2 linked regions of the Sus scrofa genome follow. The protein of the gene in region 2 purifies or fractionates together with the protein of the main gene of each other region. This does not show direct contact. Links are inferred from orthologs where the notes say so. Each region holds a gene or a part of one and is shown on either strand. Other genes may lie near its edges.

Evidence for each region.
Region 1: the proteins of MAPK7 (region 2) and PFDN2 purify together in Homo sapiens (affinity purification with mass spectrometry; 3 studies listed by BioGRID and IntAct, with this or other methods). This does not show direct contact. The link is inferred for Sus scrofa from reciprocal best matches to the Homo sapiens genes MAPK7 and PFDN2.

The regions. Positions count from the first base shown.
Region 1 is NC_010446.5:89,323,354-89,330,791, reverse strand, and holds the start of PFDN2 (prefoldin subunit 2), read right to left. Parts: upstream 4,012-7,438; 5' UTR 3,953-4,011; coding exon 3,878-3,952; exon of another isoform or gene 3,735-3,877; intron 1-3,734. Other genes in the region: NIT1 (nitrilase homolog 1), read left to right, coding at 4,091-4,143, 4,713-4,811, 5,068-5,322, 5,432-5,535, 5,756-5,889, 6,059-6,184, 6,650-6,916. UniProt on the Homo sapiens protein: Binds specifically to cytosolic chaperonin (c-CPN) and transfers target proteins to it. Binds to nascent polypeptide chain and promotes folding in an environment in which there are many competing pathways for nonnative proteins.
Region 2 is NC_010454.4:60,144,707-60,152,307, reverse strand, and holds the start of MAPK7 (mitogen-activated protein kinase 7), read left to right. Parts: upstream 1-3,564; 5' UTR 3,565-3,939; coding exon 3,940-4,171; intron 4,172-4,707; coding exon 4,708-4,873; intron 4,874-5,447; coding exon 5,448-6,526; intron 6,527-6,625; coding exon 6,626-7,212; intron 7,213-7,469; coding exon 7,470-7,601. UniProt on the Homo sapiens protein: Plays a role in various cellular processes such as proliferation, differentiation and cell survival. The upstream activator of MAPK7 is the MAPK kinase MAP2K5.

The DNA.
Region 1 (7,438 bases), on a different chromosome or scaffold from region 2:
TAACATGGTAAGAGCCCAAAACTTTTGAGTATGACCTGGATTAGAATCCTAGTTTTGCCATTTACTTTTACATGACAAAGTCATCTCTCTTTTTTCCTCATTTTCCTCATAAAATGGAGCTAATATACCACAGGGCAGGGTTTCCCAACATCAGTATGATATTTGGGGCCAGATAATTCTTTGTTATTGGGGGCTGTCCTGTGCACTGTAGGATGTTTAGCAACATCCCACCAGGCTTCTACCCTTCTAGCAGCTCCCTCTACTTGTCAGAAGTACAAATGGCTAAAAGCATTGCCAAATGTCTCCTAGGGTCAAAACCAAAGCAGGTTGGGAACCACTGCCATGAGGTAACAATGAGAACTTAACCAGGATGATATGTCAAATGCTCATTACAATGCAGGCCCTCTACTCTCCTTTAGTATCCAGCACCCTTCAGTTCTCTGATTCTACCTCTCTCAACCCCCTTTCTCCTTCCTAAAAGAATTCTTCTCATCCCTACAATAGAGACTGGATCTAAGATTATAATCATAGGACTTCTCCCTTTATTACCTATACAGTTTCAACTGGTATTCATAGCTACTTCTGTGGTTTCAATTGCCTTTATTGTAACTGTCTATAAATCCAGGCCTCCTCAGGATTCTAGATCCACATTTCCAAGTTAGAAGAAGGAAGAGTTCCCATCTTGTGATACATGAGAAACAACTCCAGCTAGGAACCATGAGGTTGTGGGTTCAATCCCTGGCCTTGCTCAGTGGGTTAAGGATCCAGCATTGCTGTGAGCTGTAGTGAAGGTTGCAGACTCGGCTCATATCTTGTCTGAAATATGGCAATAATCTAAATGATCTCCCATTTTTGGACTCTCCAAATCCATCTTTCACACCACTGCTAATTTAATTCTTCTAGCACTTGGATGACACAAAAATATTCATGATATACTTTTTTGGTTTTTCTTGTTTTTGGCATGGCCAAAGGGGGGAAAAAAGCATATAACAACACAGCACATACTGTATAATACTAATTTTATAAAATTAAATATGTAAATTTGTAATACACACATGCCATCTCCTTCCATCTATTCACACATACACAAAAACATAAGGAGGGGTGTTCCCTGGTGGTGCAGTGGGTTAAGGATCCAGCACTGCCACAGCTTCAGCTGAGGTCTAGACTGGGGCTCAGATCTGATCCCTGGCCCGGGAGCTCCATGTGCTTCAGGACAGCTAAAAATGGGAAGAAAAAAAAAAAAAAATACATTCAAAAATGGTAAGGATAGTTATTTCTGGATAGTAGGATCATGGATAATTTATTTCTTATTTTGTAATTTTTCTTGTGTTTTCTACATTTTCTACATTAACGTGTATTATTTTACATAATAAGAAAAAAATCAGTAGTTCCTGCTGTGGTGCAGTGGAAACAAATCTGACTAATATTCATGAGGATATGGGTTCCATCCCTGCCTTGTTCAGCAGGTTGGGGACCCAGCATTGACATGGCTGTGGCTGTGGTGTAGGACCAACAGCTTTAACTCCAATTTGACCCCTAGCCTGGGAACTTCCATATGCCAAGGGTGCAGCCCTAAAAGGCAAACAAACAGACAAAAAAAAAAAAAAATCAACAGTATAACATGTATCATTCTATGACACCCTCACTGCTTATGTTAAAAAGTCCTAAATTCTTTGTCATGCAATGACTCAGCTTGTTTTAAGGACATCTTTCTGACTCATGATTTAGCAAAACAAATCAGTCACTGCACTCCATCTCAATCTATGCTTTCCCAGATCTCCCCTCCTTTCTTGATTCTCTATATTCTATTTCTACTGCCACCTGTTCCAATCTATCCAATCCTTCAGGCTCAGCTCAAATATCTCTAATATGATCATGGTACAAATAGAAAAAATAGGCCTGTCTAATTCACAAGTTCTGCATTTAAAAGCCCTGCTCTCCCAGTTACTGACTCTGAGTAAGTTAATTAAGTCTGAAACTCATCCTGACAATAATACAGCTACTTCAAATAGCAGTAATTAAATAACAGAAGATAAAACAAGTGCCTAGTTTGATGTGTTATTTGCTTCCATCTTGCCTATGTGGCTCAAATTTGCAGCAGTGACAATTATAATATTTTTTTTTACCCAGTGTTCTCTCTGGAACAAAAAGGTCAGAGAATATTAAGCAAGGAATGGCCTCAGAACTCAATTATCAAAATTCTTCAGTCTCTTTTGAGTTTCTTTTTCTCTACCATCACTTAACTATTGATTTCACTCTTATTCTACTTCTTTGTTCACTTTCTGTGCAAACTCTAGAGGATTTCCTCCACAACCATGGCTTTGTCCACTATCCATAAACTCATAATTCTCTAATCTGAAAGTAACAGTGAAAGGTAGAAATGTAATTCAAACACAGATCTGTCTGAACCCATTGCACTCCTTACACTCTTAGCCACCCCACTTTTCCACACTTCCCTTTACCACCCAATCCCCAATCTCAATCTCCTGCTTAGTTAGTTAGGGGTCCCTCCTCTAGCAGAAGGCCCAGTGAGGACACAGAGAACAGACCTGTGGTTGCCAAGGGGGAGAGGGGAGGGAGTGGGATAGACTGGCAGCTTGGGGTTAGTATATGCAAACTATTACATTTAGAATGGATATATGCAATCTCCTGGGATAGACCATGATGGAAAATAATATTTTTAAAAAGAATGTACCTATAGGTACCACTGAGTCACTTTGCTGTGCAGCAGAAACTGGTAAAACATTGTAAATCAACTATAATTTTAAAAAAGAAGAAAAAGCCCTGTGAAGAACACTGTAAAGCTTAATGTTTGGTTTCTTTTTGCAAATGAGTCTGTGAGCTAACCTGAAAACAAGGTTACAAGGCCGTATTTCATTTATGTTTCCCCATACCCAGCAGAATGTCTAACACACGGCAGACCCTCAAAAAGTATTAGGTTCCTTCTCCCTTGCCTTTTTCCCCCTAAGAGGAATTTTCTCTTCCCCCTTCCCCCAAATCCCATAGGGCTGTATATCTCTCTTCTACCTCATACTAGCATTTTCCCCTCCAGACTATGAACTCTGATTGCACGGGTCAATTTTTAAAATCTTTATGCAGATACCTCTGCTACAGTAACTGTTTAACAAATAACTGATAAATGAACCTATAACCAAAAAAGCTGTTGTTTTAACTACGTTTTCCTTTCTGTTACGCAGATTTCTTCCCACTCCAAGTAAACACTAGATCCACTATTAGTAAATCATGATTCCCAAGCAACAAAGGGCTTTCTGATTATTTTTCAATCGTTTCCGGATGCTAGGCACTGGGGAAATGTAAGCTCGGATTAGTAAAGGATTTCTGGTCTCTAAATAAATTCAGTGCAATAATGACTCCCGAATCAAAATAGTATGGAACACTAGACTATTCGCGTATGTGAGTCACGTGGCTCTGCGGAGTGACGACGGTTTTAAACGTGGTTTCAGGGTCACGTAACAGACTACACAATCAACCCGTTGACTAACTCCCTGGGATTCCTTATGAACTGGCCTTGCTCACCCACAGCCTGTTTGAGAGTGCGGAGGCAAAGTGGGGAAAGTGACCACCCTTCTTCCCTCAGACCTGTGCAACCTCCCAGACTCTGCTTCCCTAGAGCTTCCTCCCTCCCACCCCTCGGCTCACCCAACACCCCCAAGGGGGCGTGGCTTTCACCTACCAATCCGCCTATCTCTCCCCAAGGGCTCGGCTAGCTTCTACAAGGACCTTCCCCTCTCTGGGTGGCCACGCAAATGTGCGACTATAGTAAAGGCGTACACCAACCATAGGCTTCTCCCCTCTTCTCGCATCGACTCCGGACCCGGCCGGGTTGCCCTCCTTCGCATTCCCAGCTCCTCACCTGCTCGGCTGACACCGCCCCCTTCCCCGCGCCGCTCCCGCTGCTCTTGCCGGCGCGACTGCTGCTCTCCGCCATCTTCACCGCCTGCTGAGCTTCCGGCCTGCGCAGCTCGGCCCCCGCCTTGCGTCACGTCCGGTCTCGGAGTTACCGCCCACTCGCCCCCGGCGCCAGGCTCCTCTTCTTCCAGGCCCCTGTTCGGTTCGGATCCTGTTAATGGTTTTGGCCGTGCCTTCATGTAGGACCTGCTACCTAGCCCGCCCGCCGCGGTGAATTACACCTGTGGTGCTTTATCTTGTGCAACAGAGACGCTGCCCCTGAGAGAGTCTCCAGATGGGTTAACTGGAGAGCGGGGCGCGGGTTGGGATCTGGGTGCCAGTGCCCTCTGCCCACACAGCGGGTGGTGAGGCACGGGCGGCGGGGTGGGGTAGGGTGAACTTCTCAGAGATTCTGGTGGAAGGGGGAAAATATGCTTTGAGTCAGTAAAACTGTGCAGGTGCACAGTCAATAAGAGAGGCTGGGAAAATCAAGGAAATATCTCGAGGATGACTTTTGAACTGCGGAAACGTTTGGCTGAGAAAAAGGACTTCAGTTTAATGTGAGATCACTGGAAGTCGAGATATTCGAATGCTGCGCAGAGCCCTTTCCTCGATTTTCCCACTTTGTGCTCTCTTCCGGTAGCCGTGATTAACCATAGTTAACGAGTGTCTTAAAGACTTAGGGGTTTTTACCGGTGGTGCCCAGATTCAGCCTCACAGTATGAAGAGAGAAACCAAAGGATCTTAGAAATGTATTGCTTGATGGTGGGGTTGGTGTCCTGATTTCTCACCTTCTTCAGGCTGGGCTTCATCATCAGGCCTCCTCACCAGCTCCTGTCCCTTCTTTTGGGTCCTCGGCTCCGGATACTTCGACTCTCAATACTTTGTGCTCAGCCCAGGTAACATGTTTTGTTGTGTCCTCAGTGCCTGGCACATAGTAGATGCTCAATAAATGAATAGATGTTGGGAAACATTGGGGTGCCAGCCACTCACAGAACATTTGATCAGTGGGTCCTTATTGCATGGATCATTGTGCCTTGTAAGAGCAGGTTTAAAGGGAAGTCTAGCTTTCCTGCCTCCCCCTTTAAGCCCCTTATCATTAAACTCGGGCTTCCCCACTCTAGGAAATCTGAGTCTTGCCTGTGCCATTCACAGACCCAGATCCATGGCTATTTCCTCTTCCTCCTGGGACTTGCCCCTCGTGGCTGTGTGCCAGGTAACATCCACACCGGACAAGCAGCAGAACTTTAAAACATGTGCTGAGCTGGTTCGAGAGGCTGCCAGACTGGGCGCTTGCCTGGCTTTCCTGCCTGAGGCATTTGACTTCATTGGAAGGGACCCTGAAGAGACGCTACGCCTGTCTGAGCCACTGGGTGGGAAACTTTTGGGAGAATATACCCAGCTTGCCAGGTATCAGGGAAAGGGGGAGGGAGAGGTAGTTTCTTTTTGGGTAATATCGGAATTGCCAGATATGAGGGTAGAGACTTGAGAAGAGTTGTCAGTGTCCCCTCCCCCTCAGGGAATGTGGACTCTGGCTGTCCTTGGGTGGTTTCCATGAGCGTGGCCAAGACTGGGAGCAGACTCAGAAAATCTACAATTGTCATGTGATTCTGAACAACACGGGTGAGACCTCGTAACTCTTTAGCCTGCCTCTTCTCAGGCTCTTCTACCTAAGCTAAGATTCTCCAGAATTTTGTTTCTCAACTGTTCCCTTGGGCAAGGGTTTTAAGGGCATTTGTACCTCTGTTCCTAGCCTACAAGCTCTCTTCTCCTTGGGAGGAGAGGAACCAAGCTGGTCTTCTAGAGCACCAGCACTGAGTACTCTTACTTCTTCTTACTCTAGGGTCAGTAGTGGCCACTTACAGGAAGACGCATCTGTGTGATGTTGAGATTCCAGGGCAGGGGCCTATGTGTGAAAGCAACTCTACCATACCTGGGCCCAGTCTTGAGCCTCCGGTCAGCACACCAGCAGGCAAGGTGGGATTTGTGAAGGGGTGAGGGTGGGAGAGAAACAAGAGGGAGGGGAATAGGAATACTTTGAAGTAGTAATAGAGGATTGAGAGACAGGGAGTGGGGAAGAGGGGGGAATGACCAGATGCTGTGACAAACAGGGCAGGGGAGCTAAATAGGCTGTTCTTCATTCCAGATTGGTCTAGCTATCTGCTATGACATGCGGTTCCCTGAACTCTCTCTGGCATTGGTTCAGGCTGGAGCAGAAATACTTACCTACCCTTCAGCTTTTGGATCTGTTACAGGCCCAGCCCACTGGGAGGTAAGAGGACACCTCTTCAGAACATTAAGAGCTGCATCCAAAGCATATGGAGGTTCCCAGGCAAGGGGTCTTATCAGAGCTGTAGCCACCAGCCTACACCACAGCAACTCAGGATCCAAGTGACCTACACCACAGCTCATGCCAACGCCAGATCCTTAACCCACTGAGGGAGGCCAGGGATCCAACCTGCATCCTCATGGATGCTAGTCAGATTCATTTCCACTGAACCACAACAGGAACTCCCAAGGGCCTTCTCTTAACCTCATTCTTCTTTGGCTCTACCAGTTAAAAGATCTCCTCCTCCCCAGATTGCTGCCTCTCAGAATAGTTAACATAGTAAATCATTCACAGGCAATAATCGGAATGGTCACAGCGGGTAGACTGGCCTGTAATATCCATGATCTATCACTTCCCCACAAGTTGCTACAAGTACTTAAGTGAACGCTTGTCTCCTCATCCCCCCAGGTGTTGCTGCGGGCCCGAGCCATTGAAACTCAGTGCTATGTAGTGGCGGCAGCACAGTGTGGACGCCACCATGAGAAGAGAGCAAGTTATGGCCATAGCATGGTGGTAGATCCCTGGGGAACGGTGGTGGCCCGCTGCTCTGAAGGACCAGGCCTCTGCCTTGCCCGAATTGACCTCAATTATCTGCGACAGTTGCGCCAACACCTGCCTGTGTTCCAGCACCGCAGGCCTGATCTCTATGGCAGTCTGGGTCACCCACTGTCTTAAGACTTCTGACTTCTGTCAGTTGAGACCCCTATTGTGAGCTGGTGTTGCTGTGACTTGTAGGCAGGACCCAGGCGCAGCTCCCCTCACTTGGAGAACCTTGTCTCTTGATGAAACACAGGCTCAGCTCCTTGGGAAAGAAGAAACTTTCACCTAAGCTCAGATTTCAGTTTCAGAAAGGTAGAATTTTATATAGTCACTGTTTATTTCATGAAAACTGAAGTTACGCTGAGGGCTGAGCAGCACTGGCATTGAAAAAAATATAATAATCACAAAGTCTGTGTCTGGACATCCCTTTTTGAAGCTGAAAGGGGAGGGGGTGTTGTACCAGTTGCACTGGGCTCCAGTTCTAGGCCTCCTGGCTCATTCAGCATGCCTTCCTACCTAAATAAAAGTGCGACACTCAGTGCATCTCCCAGCCCCATGCTCCCAAGCTTGGGAGTGGGTGTGGGGGTAAAGGATGGGGAAGGAAAAAGAAGAAAGGAATTGATACTGAATCACTTCACTTTCACCTGTGATGCCCTT
Region 2 (7,601 bases):
CGGGTGCCCTTCTTGGCAGGGTTCATTCTGTCCACAGTGCCCATGGGTTACCCTCTCTGATGGCGGCAGGAGCGGGAGGGCGAGGGACCCGGAGGAGCTACAGGCTGACAAGCATCTGCTCTCCAGAGAGTGGGCCCTGGAGCAGCTTCCTTGGCCTCTGCAGACGGCAGCGGGTGTGAGCTGCCTCTGGCCGCACCCCAGCCACTCACGGGTGACTCACGGCTGCATCAGAGGGGCGTGTCTGTGTCGGGAGAGGGGACTTGGGTACAGGAAGTCCCGGCGGCAGGGGGGCCGGGGAGCCCACCTTCTCCCACTCCCGCTGAGCCCATTTCTCAGCTGTAAACCAGGACTCCGCCTGGAAGAAGGCGAAGGTGCAGGGGTGCACACCCCCGAGACACGGCTCCGATGCCCCTGGGTCTGGGGTGGGGCGGCCACGGGAGTGACCATGGCTGGACCAGCGCCTCTGAAGGGCCAGGCCAGGGCCTGGGGCTTTCCTGGCTGTCATTTCTTAGAGCCAGGAAGGTCCCACCGTCCCGCTTGCAGCCCGAGGACAGGGCCTCTGCCCTCCCTCTCGGCCCGTCACCTTATGTGACCCTCTGCCGGCCGCTTCCACGCAGGTCTTTCTGTCCTCGGATGTGCCCTGTGCTCCCCCCGCGCCCTCTGCGGGCGACCCTGGACGTGCATGCGGCCCGGAGGGCTGAGCCCGGGTCTGTAAACGGGTGGTCGTTGTGCCCCCGAGGGCTGCCCTTGGCCTCTTCTTCCTCTTCTCCTCCTTTTTTGAGACGTGCCCTCCCAGCCTCCCTGTTTCCTGCTCTTGATAAGATGTAAGAACAGTGGTCCATGAACAGCGATACATGCCGTGGGACCGTCAGCCTTTGCTGGGGAGGCGGTCGGGGAGCCATGGGGACTGGGGTGAGCCGGAGAGCCCCCCCCCTTTCAGTGGTGGGGCTGCTGCCCGGTTACCGTCCACTAACACCTTGTGGAAATGCAGCTTTTGTGGACAGATCTGACTTTTTCCACAAGAAACCAGACATCAGGATTTTGAGGGGATGTCTCCCCCTTGTTAACACGGGCAAACGATTTCAGGCTTTTTATTTATTTATTTATTTATTTATTTATTTATATTTTGGCCTTGCCTGTGCGTGGGGACATTCCTGGGCCAGGGGTGGAACCCAAGCCACAGCAACAACCAGAGCGACAGCAACGCCGGGTCCTCCTGTGGCTCATTCTTGCGCACTGCTCGGGAAAGAATCCCAACTGGTGTCACTTCTAAGGACAGGAATGTGACGTCACACATGAACATCACAAGAGTGGATTTCCCGCTGTGGCGTGGCCGGTTAAGGGATCTGGCGTTGCCACCACTGCGGCTCAGATTCGCTCCCTGGGCCAGGAATGTCCATGTGCCACGGGGTGCAGCCAAAAAAGAAAAAAAAAAAAAATCGCAAGTGCAATACTCTTTAACTTGGCATACTCCCACCTCTGGGTATTTTATACACTCAGAATGAGGTGTTCAGGATAATGTTATCGTCACTTGGTTTGCCATAGCAAAAGTTTTGAAGGACTCTAAATGTCTGAAAAAGAAAAATAAAAAAAGGTTGACACATGCCACAACAAGGAGGAAACTTGAAAATGTTATACCGAGTGAAAGAAGTCAGGCACAGAAGGTCACAAACATAGGATTCCATTGATGGGAAGCATCCAGAATAGGCAAGTCCAGAGACAGGAAATAGATCAGTGGCTTCCAGGGGCCGGGTGAGGGGAAATGAGTGACTGATGGGGTTTTTTGGGGGTGGGGTGACAAAAATGTTGTGAAATCAGGCAGTGGTGATGGTTGCACAACTCTGCGGACACACTAAATCCACATACTGAACTGTACGCAGTATATGTTTTATGGTATGAAAATTGTATCTCAAAAAAGCTGTTAAAGAGTGAGAGATCCCCCTAGCTTTGATACTCAGTGATCATCAGGAAAAGAGTAAATGATTTGTTATCTCTTGTAAAGGGGAGGTGGATAAGAATGTATATTAATGGAGTTCCCGTCATGGTGCAGTGGTTAACGAATCTGACTAGGAACCATGAAGTTGCAGGTTCTATCCCTGGTCTTACTCAGTGGGTTAAGGACCCGGCATTGTCCTGAGCTATGGTGTAGGCCACAGAGGTGGCTCGGATCCTGCGTTGCTGTGACTGTGGTGTAAGCTGGTGGCTACAGCTCCCATTGGACCCCTAGCCTGGGAACCTCCATATGCCACGGGTGCGGCCCTGAGATAGCAAAAAAAAAAAAAAAAAAAAAAAAAAAGAGGGAGAGAGACCAAGATTTTTTTCACTTGAGTATTGTTTGAGTTTTGAGCCATGTGAAACAACTTTTTCTCAAAGTAGTCAGTTGTCAGATGCAGCGAGCTCATAAGGCAAGGCTGAAGAATGTTGGTTAACTGATGACTTTGGAGTTCCCTGGTGTCTCAGCGGGTTAAGGATCCAATGTTGTCACTGATGTAGCTTGGGTTTGATCCCTGGCCTGGGAACTTCCGCATGCCTCAGGCGTGGCTAAAAGAAAAAAAAAAAAAGGTGATTGATGGCTTTTCCAGGACGGAGTCACGGTGGAAGTAAAGCAGCTCATGGCGCATTCAAAAGTGAGTGAGAAACGGAGTTGTTGCCAGAGAATGCCTGTAACTTGTCTACCCATCCCAGCTAAAACATGCAGAGGAAGCACTTGAACGATTCACAGTTTGTCAACCTCTTCTGATACTTTCTGCTTTATTCCCGGATCAGACGGGACGGTCACACAGCCAGCCATCGGGTCCCCTGCGGCCTGGGGCGCCGCATCGGCTCGGGCCCCGCCCTGCCCTCTCCGGGCACAGCTGACCCTGCGGGCCTGTCTGCTGCCCCGCAGCCTCGGCGCGGGAGTCGCTGCACCCAGCCACCCTGCGGAGGGGTCGCGCCCGAGGCCGAGGCCCCGGGCCGCCGGAAGCTGAGCGGAGAGGACCAGCCACCGGAGGACCGGGATCTCTGGTGGGATGTGGCCGACCACCGGCTACCTGGGATGACAGATTCCCAGCGTTGGGTTCCCGGGACCCATCGGGGAAACGGAGGACGTAACCCCAGGGGTGGTAGGTAGGGGCTGACAAGGGAAGAGGCGCCTAAAGGAGGAGGACGTCCCGATGCGGCCGCCAGGGTGGCATCCGGCCACCTCATCCCCCCAAGCTCCCGGGACCAGCCGCGGCAGCTGGGCGCAGATGCCCCTGCCCGTGGGGAGCGCGCGCGCGGGGGGCGGTGCCTCCCAGTCTCGCGGCGCCCGGGGCTGCCAGCGCGCATGCGTGCGAGGCCGGCGCCAGGCCGCAGCGCCCCTGTGGAGCGCCGAGTGCCTGCTGGGCGGCTCCCGCCAGCGGACTGGCCGGCGGTGCGCGCGCTGGTGGAGGCGGGGCTTCCTCGGCAGGGGGGCCCGGATTGGGCTCAGCCAGTGGAAGGGGTGGGTGCCTCCGCCGAGGCCATCCAGGGATTGGCCAGAGCCTGCGGAGGCGTGGTCTCGGGGGGCGGGGCGGGGACCGGCCCGGCAGAATGCGCGCCGCTGAGGTGGTGGTGGAGGCGGCGGTCTAGGGAGCGGGAGGGTCTTCGGGTCCCCCACCCCGACCGGGGGCCGGGAGGCCGGGGACCCCAGGAGGCGGGGGCCCGCGACCTCCAGGGCTCGGGCGGCGTCGGGGTGAGGCGCCGGGCGCCGAGCGCGGCCCGAGAAGAGCGGGCGCCCCGCCCCTCGCTTTCTTCCTGGACCGCGCCTCGCGGCACCTCCCCCACCGCCGACCCCGCGCCCCGCGCGGACCTGAGCCCGGGGCCCGCGCGCGCGGTGGGGGACGCGGGCTGCGCGCATCGCTCGCTCGGGCCGGCCGGGTGCGGGGCCCCTGAGCCCGGCGGCGGGCCCCTCTTCCCCAGCGTTTCCGCGCAGACGCCATGGCCGAGCCCCTGAAGGAGGAAGACGGCGAGGACGGCTCCGGGGAGCCCCCCGGGCCGGTGAAGGCGGAACCCGCCGGCCCCGCCGCCTCCGTGGCGGCCAAGAACCTGGCTCTGCTGAAGGCCCGCTCCTTCGACGTGACCTTCGACGTGGGGGACGAGTACGAGATCATCGAGACCATCGGCAACGGGGCCTACGGGGTGGTGTCTTCCGCGCGCCGCCGCCTCACGGGTGAGCGCCGGCGGGCGGGCCGGGGTGTGCACACTGGGGGCCAGGCGCCCGGTGCCCGCTTGTGCAGGGCCCAGGTCTCTGCAGCCCCGGCGCGGTGGGTGCCAGCGCATCGGTTCGCGTCCTCCTCAGAAAGTCGAGCGTCCGGGTGAGACCAGGGTGCAGATTTCCCGGAACGTGTTCCGGAGCCGAGGCTGGCGCAGGCGGTTGGCGGTGCCATAGCTGGGGGCAGAGATGGGCCGAGCAGGGCGCTAGCACGGCGTTGGAGTCTAGACTCTACCCCTCGCCGGCTGGCAGCGCCGCCCGCAGGGAGCCCCGGCTCCACGTGTCTTCGTGGGCTCTGAGCACCTGCCGGGGAGAGGAGGAGGGGCAGCTGGTGGTGCAGGTGCTGTGCTGAGCCCAGGACCGGGCACACAGTAGGCGCTCGGTGCAGGGAAGCTGTTGTCCCTGCGTCTTAGAAGGGAGGGGGTGAAAGGGGCCGCGCGCCACTCCGAGCTCCGCCAAGGTCCCTCAGGGCATCCGCTTTCCCTGCGCCCCAGGCCAGCAGGTGGCCATCAAGAAGATCCCTAACGCTTTTGACGTGGTGACCAACGCCAAGCGGACCCTCCGGGAGCTGAAGATCCTCAAGCACTTCAAGCACGACAACATCATCGCCATCAAGGACATCCTGAGGCCCACCGTGCCCTACGGCGAGTTCAAGTCTGTGTAAGGAGGGGCGGCGGGAGGCAGAGCGGGCACCTTTTCGGAAGGCTGGGGCCATAGCGCTCAAGTTCTGGACCTTGTGCAAGGCAGGCTGGGCAACCTCCCACCATCCCAAGACCAGGGCTCCCTTGGGGTTTTGCCGGGGCCACCCGAGATTCCTCCGGAAGAGCGTGAGGTAGCTGCGTAGGATGGCAACGCGCGGGCTGGCAGAGGGAAGCCCCGCATTCCGTGTCTACCATGGCTGCTCCCCTAGCAGACATCACTAATCAATCACAGACTACGGAAGCCCCTCCCGTCTCCATCACCGTCTTCCATGAGCCACTACCAGACCTCCCCCGACAAAACCTATTGGCCAGGCGGGTTTAGCCCAAGCCCACCTTTTCTCTGGTGGCGACACTAGTAGTTTCCCTTAAGTTCATGGAAAGTTGTAGGACATCTAGAATCTTCACACCACCTGGGTGGCGCCTACAGCATCTGAGAGTTAGGCCCCGACCCGTCTGGAGCTGGGAGAGCTGGGTGAGGATGGGGCTGGAGCGTCACCAGGACCCCCCGCCCCCCGCCTCTCCCCTGCCCTCAGCTACGTGGTCCTGGACCTGATGGAGAGCGACCTGCACCAGATCATCCACTCCTCGCAGCCGCTGACGCTGGAGCACGTGCGCTACTTCCTGTACCAGCTGCTGCGGGGCCTCAAGTACATGCACTCGGCTCAGGTCATCCACCGCGACCTCAAGCCGTCCAACCTGCTGGTGAATGAGAACTGCGAGCTGAAGATCGGGGACTTTGGCATGGCCCGCGGCCTGTGCACCTCGCCCGCGGAGCACCAGTACTTCATGACCGAGTACGTGGCCACGCGCTGGTACCGCGCCCCCGAGCTCATGCTCTCGCTGCACGAGTACACGCAGGCCATCGACCTGTGGTCCGTGGGCTGCATCTTTGGGGAGATGCTGGCCCGGCGCCAGCTCTTCCCGGGCAAAAACTACGTGCACCAGCTGCAGCTGATCATGATGGTGCTGGGCACCCCGTCGCCGGCCGTGATTCAGGCCGTGGGGGCGGAGCGGGTGCGGGCCTACATCCAGAGCCTGCCGCCTCGCCAGCCCGTGCCCTGGGAGACCGTGTACCCGGGGGCCGACCGCCAGGCCCTCTCCCTTCTGGGCCACATGCTGCGTTTTGAGCCCAGTGCCCGCATCTCAGCCGCTGCCGCCCTCCGTCACCCCTTCCTGGCCAAGTACCACGACCCGGATGACGAGCCCGACTGTGCCCCGCCCTTTGACTTTGCCTTTGACCGTGAAGCCCTCACCCGGGAGCGCATCAAGGAGGCCATTGTGGCCGAGATCGAGGACTTCCACGCGCGGCGAGAGGGCATCCGCCAGCAGATCCGCTTCCAGCCTTCCCTGCAGCCTGTGGCCAGTGAGCCCGGCTGCCCCGACGTTGAGATGCCCAGTCCCTGGGCTCCCAGCGGGGACTGTGCCATGGAGTCCCCTCCGCCGGCCCCACTGCCGTGCACCGGCCCTGCGCCCGACACCATCGATCTGACCCTGCAGCCACCCCCGCCGGCCAGTGAGCCAGCCCCTCCAAAGAGGGAGGGTGCCATCTCGGACAACACCAAGGCCGCCCTCAAGGCCGCCCTGCTCAAGTCCTTGCAGAGCCGGCTCCGAGGTGCGTGGCAGAGGCGGTGGCTGGCTGGGGAGTGGGGCCGAGGGGACCCCCCCCAGCCTGGACGGGCTCTTAGTGTCACCCTGCCCGTCTTCCCCACAGATGGCCCCAGCGCCCCCCTGGAAGCTCCTGAGCCTCGCAAGCCGGTGACAGCCCAGGAGCGCCAGCGCGAGCGGGAGGAGAAGCGGCGGCGGCGGCAGGAGCGAGCCAAGGAGCGGGAAAAGCGGCGGCAGGAGCGGGAGCGCAAGGAGCGGGGAGCCGGGGCCTCGGGGGGCCCCTCCGCCGACCCCTTGGCCGGGCTGGTGCTCAGCGACAATGATCGCAGCCTGCTGGAGCGCTGGACTCGCATGGCCCGGCCCCCGGCCCCCGCTCCAGGGCCGCTGCCAGCCCGGCCTCCCAGCCCACCCTCTGGCCCCGCAGCCCAGCCCGCTGCGCCCCCGCCGCAGCCTGCCTGCCCGGCCCCGGGCCCTGGGCCTGGGCCTGCTCCACTCCAAACCGCTGCCTCCTCCGGCCTCCTGGCCCCGCCGTCGCTGGTGCCTCCCCCTGGGCTGCCCGGCCCCAGCGGCCTGAGCGTTCTGCCTTATTTCCCCTCTGGCCCACCCCCTCCAGACCCCGGGGGCGTCCCTCAACCCTCCACCTCAGAGTCCCCCGACGTCACCCTCGTGACCCAGCAACTGTCCAAGTCACAGGTGAGGGGAGAGGCCTGGCTGTGGGCGCACGCGGATCTGAGCCTAGGGGGAGGGTTTGGGAGGCCCTTGTTCTGTGCGAACCGAGCGGCAGGCGGGGCACCATCCCTCCTGACGGGTCCCCTTGCTCCCAGAAGGAACTCGGGTCTTTGGGGGCACCAGCTGCTCAGCGGGTGTCCAGGCAGTGCTGGGACAGGCGCCCTGCAGACCTGGCAGCTCTGGACGGTGCCTGCGTTGTAAGTTGCCATCGTCCCCTGCAGGTGGAAGACCCCTTGCCCCCCGTGTTCTCGGGCACCCCAAAGGGCAGCGGGGCTGGCTATGGCGTCGGCTTTGACCTGGAGGAATTCCTCAACCAGTCTTTCGACATGGGCGTGGCTGATGGGCCCCAGGAC